Rattus norvegicus: one gene and its partners. The protein of the gene in region 1 interacts with the protein of each later gene in a pairwise test. Links are inferred from orthologs where the notes say so. Each region holds a gene or a part of one and is shown on either strand. Other genes may lie near its edges.

Region 1 (3,749 bases):
AAAAAAAAATTCATGGGAATAGAGATGGTTCTGAGGTTAAGAGCACCCACATCAGGCAGGCTCACAACCATCTAGACAGCTCCAGCTCCAGGGATTCAGGTGCCTCCTGTCTCTGTGGACATTGAAGGACTGAAAGGGTGGTTCAGTGGTTCAGCACTCTTGCAGAAGACTAGATTATGGTCCCCTGCACCACACAGGGAACTCCCTCTCCACCTCTAGCTCTTCTTATGACCTCTACAGCCACCCACATACATGTGAGCACACACTCACACACAGAAATAAGTTTTTAAAAGAAAATGAATCAAGCCAGAAAATTCAGCATGCAAAGTGCTTAAAAGCCCAGACCCTAGAGTCAAACTATGCCCTTGCTGGGAGACCTAGGGCAAGCTATTCAACTTCTCAGTGCCTCATTTTCTCACCTATAAAACAGGAAAATTAGTTGTGTTTTGAAGATGAAGTGAATTACTATTGGCACAGCATTCGTAACAGAGCCTGATGCATAAACACAGCATAAATGTTAATTCAATTGTAAGAATCTAGTATGCCAGAGTGGGCCTTTAAAGTTAGAGAGCAGACTTCCAAATTTAAAAACACGTGATTCCTCAAATCGTTCCATTACAAAAGGCTCTCACATCTCTCCTGGAATAAGCTTTGTGAGCTAGACTAGAACAAGCAGGAGTTCTTACCCTTCCGTCACACCTACCTGGCAGTACCCAGCTTTACCCCACTACACCTATTCATCAACTTTATCCTTCTAAAAGCCAGGTTTAAATAACGAATGTGCTATCGTTGCATGATCTCAAAGCTGTCTGCGACTGTGAAGACTGTGTGTGGAGTTTGCCTCCAGGTACACTGAGAGATTGTATTCACTATCACCTGAGATTACGTAAGTGGGGAAAGTTAGCCAATGTCAAATTTTTCACTGCTTTTAAAAAGTGCTCAAATGGCACATCTACAATCTTCTGAAGCTGCAATACAGGCAGACAAGTATGGGGTATGAGTCTAAAATTACAACTTCTGCACCAGACATTATCACACTCTATATGACCTTTAGATGTGAACTGGCAATTAGCTCACTTAAACTTTAGACAGTTATCATCTAACATACCTTACTGGCAAAGACACTCTGTACAGCACTAAGAAAATTAATTTTACATGATAGGCTATTAACATATGCAGAATGAAATAGGTCTTATCATTTTTCTCCCTTATGAAGTGCCTAGAAAGTAATTTTAACTTAAGTCATCAATCCTTGAGTTTATTTTACCATGCTTTAAAATCCAAATGAAAATAAATTTTGTTGGTCTCATGAAAGCATATTCAGGTCTATTTTTTCTGTATCCAACTTCAATTTATCTCACTCAAAGCAAAGGCACTGCAGATTTAGCAACTTCTAAGATTAAGTCTGTTTCTAACTGGGGCTAAAGGTTTTCTTTGTTCTTTATGCATTTCTACTCTAAATAAAGATGTTAACAATCCAGAAGAGATACCCCTACTGGGTGCCCTTTGGCCTCCTTTGACTGACTCCTCAGCTTAATGCTGGGCTTTGCCCTTCACCTTTCTGATTTGGCAGACACTAACCCTATCTCTTAAACGCAGTGAAAACAACACAATTTTCAGACTAACAAACAACCACTCATGAGCAAGCTTCAGGGTAAGATTTTTCTAATAACTGAGCTGATTTCTGGTCCATTTACTGGTAAATAGATAAGTAATCTAGTAACTTCGGGTATTATCTTTTGACAAGTACAATGCTCAGTCCTCTTTCTGGCTGAAGAAGGTATAAAAATTTCATGAAAACTGAAACCAGAACCCTAAGCTGAGAAAGGTAAATTGTGATCCAAGCTAAACTTCTCACCAGTTAGTGGAACTCAAGTTAAAAAAAAAAAATCACAATTGCCCCCACCCCCTTGTACCTAGGCTCAATTTCCCCACACTCCAAACAGTGACTTACAGTATCCGTTACAAGTGCAAACAACAAATGTTCTAAAATGTTTATAAACGCTACAGGAATAAACCCTAAATAATGAAAAGAACCCTCACTCGCCTTAAAGGGTTAGTCACCTCATCGTTTCCCAGAGAAAAAGGAGAACCCAAGCAACCGGAGTTGGTTGGTGATACTTTCCCCAACTCCAAAGCAGATGATTAGCAGTCCGGGGCAGACAGTCACGAGACTACCAGTCTCTGCCAACGCGTGCTGCTCCCGCTCTCCCCTCCCGCATATGGGGCGCTGGGAAATCAAGATCCAACCCTGCTCCTAACCACCCGGGCAGCTCCGGGGAATTCAGGGTGGGTGGAGCAAGACGCTGGGCGCGCCGCTGCCACCCCAACTGGGCCACTCCTCGAGCCGTCAGTCCCGGTTGCCACGTCCCGGCCTCCGTCCCTCCTCTGGAAGCCCCGCACTCGCTCTCCTGCAGGTGCCCCCAGTGGGCCACACCTCCGACAGTAAGGAAGGGGCAGTTAGAGCGGTTGGAACAGTTGTTTCCGTACCGGCCGCCCCAGAACCCAAGCCCGGCCTGGCCCACCGGGCCCTGAGCCACAGCCCCGCGGTCAGGCAGGCTCCCCAGGGGCAGGCCTCGGCGCTGCCCACTCGGCTCGACCCCAGAGGCTGCCTCACACGGGAGCTCACCGCCAATGTGTCAAAAGCGCATGTTCGCCGCCGCTCGGCCGACGTCTCTGCTCCGCTGGCCTGGCCAGGCCCGCCCAGCCTCTCAGCTCTGCTCCCTTCCGCAGCCCTGAGCTCCACTCCGCGTACCTCCGCGCTGGGCTCCTCCCCGACACGTCAGGGGCTCCCTGGGTGTCGGAAGCCATTCTGTGACGCACGGGGGTGGAGTCGAGAGCATGCGCAGAAGCAGGCGGGGGGGAGGAGCCATGGGAGGCAAGCGTCACAGGGAGCCGACCCAGGCCCTGCGCGCTGACGTCAGGCCTGCGACAACGTCCTGCGCAGGCGCCGCCCGGGGCACCCTAAGGGTGGGTTTTTAGCCCTCTGGGGTTTCCGGAAGCTGTGCTGTTGGCGAGAGTAGTTCCCTACGCTAAGAGGAAGGCAAGTATGAAGGCGTAAGGGAACTCAAGAAGGAGACAGGAAATATGCGCAACTGTCCTGGGAGTAGAAACGTAAATGAAGAAAAGGCATTTGGGGAACAATTTTAGGGATTTTTGCTGTCTCATGCTAAGTGTAATTCTAATTTCAGTGCTGTTGGGCTTGGTTTTGAGGTTTGAAAACAAAACAACATAGCATAAAACACGCTAAGCCTAAAAAAGGTGAGCTGAAGAAGCCCACGTATACTTTTAGGAAAGGTAAATATAAACAAAAACAGTGTAAGGTGGATTTTTTAAGGAGAACCTAAATTGATGAGCAGAGGAAGATTGGTAGGGTCTAAATCACCTTGAACTACACAATGAAGGAGTTAGGGTTTTAAAAAATGATTATGAGTTCACTGTGCGGTTTGTTGTGCCCAGGGTTGTACCAGTCACTGGTCTGCATTGCTTCATCACAGTAACCCCAGGTTACTCTCAATTACAAATAAGAAACGGCAAGATGAAGTTTCCCAAGGTCACTCAACTACAGCGCGAATTCAAATTCAGAAGCTATACTATTATTATCCACTACTACGATGACAAGAAGGGAAACATAGGCTAGACCATGGGGCTAAAGTGCTTTCAATACGCTACCATTAACCCTCAACATTTGAGGCTGGAATCATTAGATCTATATTGTAAAGTAAGACTCAAAAGAGGTCTACTTTCCA
Region 2 (3,749 bases), on another chromosome or scaffold:
AGCAGTAGACCCCCATTGTTTCACCATAGCCTAAAGTCCCTTCATTCCCTGGTCCCTTTCTAAGGTTTGTCTTTATCCACACTTTGGCCACATTGACCTGGAACCCTTTTTACTACCTGAACATCCCCCCACCGGGGTGGGGGACACTCAGCATTTGCATATAAAGGTAACAAAAAGACATTTTCCAGCACCCAAACTTGACATTTCCTTGGGGACACTTGTGATAATTAAACAACTCAAGAATGGGAAATTATAAACTGTAAAATTTTATTCATTTCTGAGTGTTTTGTCTGTATGCATGTGTGCACCAAGTGCACGGGGTGGTGCCTGTGGCAGCAGACGCCCTGTATTGCAGTAACCTACGGTTGTAAACCACCATGCAGGGCTGGGAACTGAACCCTGGCCCTTTGCAAGGGCTCTTTACCACTAAGTCATCTCTCTAACCCCTAATTTTTTTAATATGTTAACAAAACTAGTGGGGTTCGGAAATTAATTTATAGAACATTATAAAGGCTGGAGAGATGGCTCAGAGGTTAAGAGCACTGGCTGCTCTTTCAGAAGTCCTGAGTTTAATTCCCAGCAACCACAGCATGGCTCATAATCATCTGTAACAAGATCTGGTGTGCAGGCACACATGCAGGCAGAATACTGGATATATAATAATAAATACTTAATAAATAAATCTTAAAATAAGTAAAGCTAAATCACCATGTTGTGGCTATAAATAAAGTGTTAAGTGTTGAGTGAGATATAGGGGTGCACATCTGTAATCCGCACTACTTAGAAAGCTGAGGTTAGATCATTAGTTCAAAGTCATCCTTGGAAACAGTAAGAGCCCCATTATAAAACAGAAAAAAATTAATTAAAAATTGTAAATGTCATAAATGTGAACGAAGGTAAATAAAACACTCCAACTGGGGCAAGAGGGAAAAGAAATTAATCTGGAAGGTCATTTTTTTAAAAAGCTTTTACGGGGTTGGGGATTTAGCTCAGTGGTAGAGCGCTTGCCTAGGAAGCGCAAGGCCCTGGGTTCGGTCCCCAGCTCCGAAAAAAAGAACCAAAAAAAAAAAAAAAAAAAAAGCTTTTACACCCTTCTGCATTGTTTAATAGGTGCAAAGGGATAATTCCAGTGAATGGAATTATCTTTTTGCTCCTACTGTTTAAAAGACTCAGTAAAAAGTACTAACATGAGGATAAATAGAATTATCTAATCCACACAGGTTAAATTTTTAAAACCTAACAACAGTATTAATACACACAGAAAGCAAGATAGAAAAGCTACAAAAACGGGGGATTAAAAATTAAAGACACGTTATTTCTTTTAAAGCCATTAAAAAACTACTATGTCAAAAATCTCAACCCAATTTTAGGCTACCCTAATTAATGGTGGCAATGCTTGAGTCAAACTAAACTCTATCAAGAAGCTCATCCAGTAAAGAAATCGCCTAATCCTGTGGCCATATACCATACATACACTTATCGTCCCCGTTATCCCATGTATTAGCCCTCAATTTGGAGACTGAGGCAAAAGCCTTTGAACAGATTGCCCAAGGGCACTAAACTAAGTCCAGCAGCGGCGGCCTACAAAGTACCCAAAGCAGCTGACAGAATCCGTTAGATGTGAAAACACTCCCCTGAAGGAAGCACCTTGCTAAAAACGCTTGGATATTTCTTTCTGAATAACGTTCAGGATGATGCTCAACCGCTCCCCTTCTAGGGATGGAAGACCCCAGAAAAAGCCCTGTTACTCGTGAGCCACCCACAGGAATGCCCTCGCCACGGTTTGCTGGGACAGCTCACCCCCACCCCACCCCTCCCGCAGCACCCTCACGCGGGAAGGCGGTCCCACGGCCCCGGCCCAAACTGACTGCGCAACAGGATGCAGTTGGTGTCCTCCTGGCTAGCCACCCAGGTGAGCGAGTCGCCCAGCGGCCGGCGACAGCGCGTACACAGGAACACCAGCGGGTTCTCCGCCGCGGCAGCCTTCTCCTCACGCCTCTCCAGCAGTGTCCTCGACGCGTCTGCGCTCGACATGCTCGCCCACTTCTGCAGCCGCCAATGGCGGCTCGAATCTTCCGACAGCCGCTTCTCCAGCAGCGAAGACTCGCTCCGCTTGCCCTGGTGGTTACACGAACTAGAGGTAGAGCAGGGTTCCAGAGAAAATGTACCAGCCATGACGAATTTGCCGCGCCCCGGAGCCTCACGGGAAATAGCACAGCTGCGCATGCGCAAGGAGCAAGAGGCGGGCACCGCCGAGGAGGGTGAGGCCCGAAGTAGGGCCTAAGGCGCATGCTCACTATCTGGCTGGAGCGAGCCTAGCTCATTGCGCCTGCGTCCTGGCGTCTTCCTAAGCAAAGGCAGGTGAATTAGCTTGTTGGAGGTCCTTCCGCCGCCGTTGAGAAAGTTAAGGGCTTCGAATTAAACAAGCAACCGCTCACCTAGTCCTTCCACATTATTAATGGACATGCCGGTGCTAGGTAAGCAGATCTGGTAAGCAGGCCCACCTCCATGGAATTCCAAGTGGTGTATTGCTAGCCACATCCCTGATTCTAGTCTGTCTGCTCCCGGAGACCCACTTTCCTAGATCCAGAAAAATCAGGGATCGATGGCGAGCCAAAGACACCCCCTGCCTCAAAGACCCAGCATTACGCAGGCTTGCACTGCAAGGGAAAAGTACGAGAAGCTGGAGGGGACAGCATTACTGTGGTTACAAAGTGGGCGAGTGTCACTCACTCTGTCTGGGTCAGAGTACAGTAGGGGCGGGAAGGACGGTCAGTCATCAGAAAGTCAACCTGTGACTTCAGAAGACCACAGGCTAAAGGGAAGGCTGGCGGAGAGCCGAGGGACGCCACCAGGGACAGCCTGGATGCAGAAGTAAGAAACAACACGCAAAGACCACCGTATTTTCCTCCAAGTCACACTTCGCAGTTCGCTTCGTTAAACTTCAGCATACGCAACCACCTGTTTTCGTATCTCAGGCCCCTAGTAAAAAGTTTCGAATCCTAAACCTTCGAGTTGACTGACCAAGGTAGTAAAGGGCCGGAAACTGGAAAGGCGACTTTGCCTTCTCTAAGTGTGATTTTTAACTTTTTGTTTCTTTTGATTCATTTTTGTCCAAGCTGTCCACCCACGGCGATCCTCCTGCATCAGCCTCCCACGTGCTAGGATTACAAGCCAGCCTTGAGTCTTGATTCTTCACAGGATTAAATGGTCAGTAACCTCCTGGACTATTAACTGAGCAATGGGATGTGTGTGAGGATACCATAACGGCATTAATTAGCTTCCAAGTAGGAGAAAATGCATCAAATAATTTAGGATTTGTCTACCCATAGAGTTGTTTTCTCTCTACTGCTTTTGAAGGTGCTGCCTGTGTCCCATGCACAATGCAGCCTATGTGAGTTGTGCACGTTGCATAATATCTTTGGAATTCAGTGGGCAGTTGTTTGGCTCAGACTTTGGGATTCTATGGTCAATGCTTAAAATTCTGTAGTGGTATATCCCTGTACAGAAGTCCTTTATCCTCAGAGAACACATCCTGTTTTGTAAGAAACAGAGCTCTCACCTCAAAGTGGCTGAGAGAGAGTGTATGCCGGAGCCAAACATGAGTGGCTGTGGCCCAAGAACAAACAGATTCAGGTGTCCCCAAATCCCATGTTCCAATGTAGCATCAGTTTTAATTGTGAGGGAGCACAATAAAGGAACCACCTAAATGGCCGTTCAAGGACTAATGGGGAAGGTTTTTAATCGTA
Region 3 (3,749 bases), on another chromosome or scaffold:
AGTGGACGGGTCTCTCTGGAACCCCTTCCTCCGGACTAGATGCCTCTAAGTGAGGGAACACGAGGAAGAAATAACAGTGGCCACAATGAACCTCAGCCACGTGCAACTGTGGACAGCCCGGCCCACTTTATCTCCCAGTCTAAAAAAGAAAGATGATGTCATCTTTACTATCTCTTGCTAAGTGACACTTCTGGAGACCTAGCAGGATAGCCACGACCCTTCAGGAAGTGACCTGGTTTGTGACTCGCACTTTCTGTTCCACGCCTAGCTCTCAGCAGCCATCTTGTGGCTCTGGACTGGCATGACCTAGGGGAAACCTGCTCTAATTCCTCCATCACTCCACCCCGACCTTCCTCTTTGTCATCTACTGTGTATCTAGTGCTGGGGTATCTGACTCTCAGCTGCTGATCAAGTCAGTCAGTTAGCTGAGAGCCTTCAAAATGCTTGGTGTTGGTTCACTTCAGAGAATCTGGCTCAGGGGTTGGAGATTTAGCTCAGCGGTAGAGCCCTTGCCTAGCAAGCGCAAGGCCCTGGGTTCGGTCCCCAGCTCCGAAAAAAAAAAAAAAAAAAAAAGAGAATCTGGCTCAGAGACTCAGAGGGGGAGGCTCTGTTCTCAGGATCACCTCCCTGCCAGGCTCAGTCTGGTCCCGAAATCTGCCATCTAAACTAGCAAGCATGTGAGGTGCTCTCAACAGGAATCCTACAAATTGTAAGAAACAAGACAAGAAACCTGTATAACAGAAAGTCCCCAAGAAACAGTTTCCAGGACAGGCCTCGTGCCCCTCGAGGTGGCCTTGCCTGGCATCCATATAGTGACCAAATCCTCATCTTCACCCACCTGCTGTGGATTTGGGTAGTCTGGCTTATTTAATAAGGCTGTTTATTTAATTATGTAGAAAAGGACTCAGAAAGCCTACACATTTTCTGTCATAAATGAATGTATAGAGGAGACTTGGAATTACACACATGCATACTCTCAAGCCAGTGCACCTGACTATTCTGTCTTCATTGGAAGAAGGGAACCCTTGCCTTGGGGCCAGACTATGACTCACTTCCAGGTTGTCAATACCCACCAAACAGATATGTGTGGGTGGGTGGGGCGGTGAATTTGCTAAGCCTCAGTCTTCTCATTTATGAGATGGGGCTAAAACTTCCCTTGAAGAGGCGTGAGTCTTAAAAGACAACACCCAACACCCACACCATATATCTCATACACGGCATATGATAAGTGACAGCTTTTCAAAAACAACAGATATAAAAATGTTGTAGACATCGTGGCTGGCGCTGAAGTCTTCACGGCTACCAAGAAGACTTGGTGCTGTGAATCAAATGCCCCAGGCAAAGCCAGACTCTAGATTGAGAATGTTCAGTTTTGCCCCCTCATTCCCTACTCCCTTCTCTCACTTCTGAACAGGGCTTGTAGCTCCATCTTGGAATAATTTAACTGCTGTGGTTCCTGAAGTCTCTGGGTTTGGGTTACAAGGACAAAGCACTTCTCTGTGGTCTGGACCCAATCATCAACTCAATTCGGTCAGAGAGGGAGGCAAAGAACAGGTAGGTGAAGAATGGATAAACCATTATGAATGTGAGGGCTTAGGCACCCCACTGTGGGGCTTCATACTAGAGGGAGCTCCCTGGGTTGCGGATCCTCCCTTCCAGATGGGCAGAAGAAAGGTCTGATGGGTGGAGGGCAGGCCTGTGATGATGTGTCTTCCTGTTCTCCATCTAGCTTGTCTGTCTGTCCGCTGAAATATGGCTTTTTTTACCCTTTGCATCATTAGGACTTAATGATTAGGAAGTTGCAACAGGAATGACTTCCTAGACAGAGGAGAGTCTCAGGACCCATAGCCTTCTACATCTGCTGGTGTGTGACGTGACACTTGTATGGAACTTCTAGGATGGTGGGATCATGCTTAAACACAAGAAGGCTTGTGGAAGGTCTGATGGGCTATAAAAAGGGAACTGTAGTTCAGAGAAAGGTCACAAGGCTGCTGCCTAGGATTTTCTGTAGTTTCTGAGGTACCCTTTGCCAACATGAAAGGGCCTAGTTAGAGCTTGGAGGCAGGGCTAGTACTGACTAGGGAAGGCTCTCCTTCCTGCATGAGAAGACAGCAGGGCTCTGCCCCTCACCTACAGACGTGTTGCTGAAGGAGAAGGGCCTGTTACAGAGATCCCTGCATGGAAGGGATTGGGAAAGACCATCTAATTCCTGTCACAGATGCCAAGCACACCAACACCAAGCCATGGGACTCACATCTAAACCAACAGACGGAGCAGAGTCAGGAGCCATACCCCGTGGTTGCCCGAGGACTCCAGCATAGGACGCCTTTTTAGTCATACAAACCCCAGCAAGTAAATTCTACCACCTGCTGCTATGCTGGAGGCTGGCATGGCTGAGCATATTCTGCCCCACCCTAAGTCAACAGGCACAAACCTGGATTCCCAAAGCATTTTCCTCCACAGTTACCTCAGGTCCCAGGCTCTGTCTCAAGTGTCTCGGGAGAGCCTTCGGCCCTTTCTGGGTCTCTCTGGTCTCAGATGGTGGGGAAGCTTTCACATCGAGGTCCTAAGTCCCCTCAACATTTTCTTCTTTCTTTCGCACAGCAGCAGCCTGCTGAAACAGGAAACACAAGCCACAGTGTTCACAAACCTCAGTTCCTCTCCTTGCCCTTAGCAATTTGAAGAGGGCCCCTGCACCCTTGGGGCCTCCAGGGCTGGTGAGGAAGTCCACCCAGGCACCCACTCTCCAACTACCTGATTGGTCTGCTCTCCGGCAGCTTCAGCCCAATATTCATTTCCTGTGGTTGGTGTTGTAGCTCCGTAGGTAGAGGGCTTTACTCGCCTAAGAAGCACAAAGCCCAGGATTCCATCCCTAACATTGAAAGTCAGACCCGAAAACCCAACACCCAGGAAGCAGAGGCAGGAGAACCAGGAGGTCAAGATCATCCTTAGCTACACATTGAGTTCAACGCTAGGCCGAACTACATGAAACCCTGTTTTAATTTTTTTTTTTTTTAAGGATTACACAGGGATGAATTCTGGGGCAGATCCAAACCTTGCCACTTTTGTGGTAAGACCCAGGAGGGATGTTCCTCATACTATTAAGCTGTTTGGAGTCTCTCTTTCCTTTGGGATGTTGGCATTGGGTAGTTTCCTGTGGTCTGAAGGATCTGTGTGTTTTGTGAAGTTCCAGATCCTTGAGGGCATCCTGGGTTCATTTCTTTGTGAGGCAATGTGGAAGGGGTGAAGTATGGGTGACCAGAGGGCAGAAGGCAGGCAGCCAGAAGAATCTGAAAAATCCCAGTGAGTTGAACTAAGAAATGTTGGGAAAAATTAAAGTGGACTGATGCGTTAAAAAGAAACTATTACAAATGGGATATTCCAGAGCAACTCAGGATAGATAGGCTGGAAGCTGAGTTGGTGCAAGTTCACGGACAGCTCTGGAACCTTCTGAACCAGCCACTCAGTATGCAAGCCAGATGATTGATGTGGCTGCCGTGACCATACAGTTTGACATGTGTGAGGCAGGTGTGAGGCAGGTGTGAGACAGGTGTGAGGCAAGTGTGAGGCAGGTGTGAGGCAGGTGTGAGGCAAGTGTGAGGCAGGTATGAGACAGGTGTGAGGCAGGTGTGAGACAGGTGTGAGGCAGGTGTGAGGCAGGTGTGAGGCAGGTGTGAGACAGGTGTGAGACAGGTGTGAGGCAGGTGTGAGGCAGGTGTGAGGCAAGTGTGAGGCAGGTGTGAGGCAGG

Evidence for each region.
Region 2: the proteins of Ndel1 (region 1) and Mis18a interact in binary tests that used the Homo sapiens proteins (3 or more experiments, as listed by UniProt). The link is inferred for Rattus norvegicus from reciprocal best matches to the Homo sapiens genes NDEL1 and MIS18A.
Region 3: the proteins of Ndel1 (region 1) and Traf3ip3 interact in binary tests that used the Homo sapiens proteins (3 or more experiments, as listed by UniProt). The two-hybrid records come from large-scale screens. The link is inferred for Rattus norvegicus from reciprocal best matches to the Homo sapiens genes NDEL1 and TRAF3IP3.

Annotation. Positions count from the first base shown.
Region 1 is NC_086028.1:54,059,366-54,063,114, forward strand, and holds the start of Ndel1 (nuclear distribution protein nudE-like 1), read right to left. Parts: upstream 2,671-3,749; 5' UTR 2,630-2,670; intron 2,574-2,629; exon of another isoform or gene 2,048-2,573; intron 1-2,047. UniProt on the Homo sapiens protein: Required for organization of the cellular microtubule array and microtubule anchoring at the centrosome. May regulate microtubule organization at least in part by targeting the microtubule severing protein KATNA1 to the centrosome.
Region 2 is NC_086029.1:43,464,960-43,468,708, forward strand, and holds the start of Mis18a (protein Mis18-alpha), read right to left. Parts: upstream 2,199-3,749; 5' UTR 2,176-2,198; coding exon 1,869-2,175; intron 1-1,868. UniProt on the Homo sapiens protein: Required for recruitment of CENPA to centromeres and normal chromosome segregation during mitosis.
Region 3 is NC_086031.1:107,245,649-107,249,397, forward strand, and holds the start of Traf3ip3 (TRAF3-interacting JNK-activating modulator), read right to left. Parts: upstream 2,508-3,749; 5' UTR 2,468-2,507; intron 1-2,467. UniProt on the Homo sapiens protein: Adapter protein that plays essential roles in both innate and adaptive immunity. Plays a crucial role in the regulation of thymocyte development.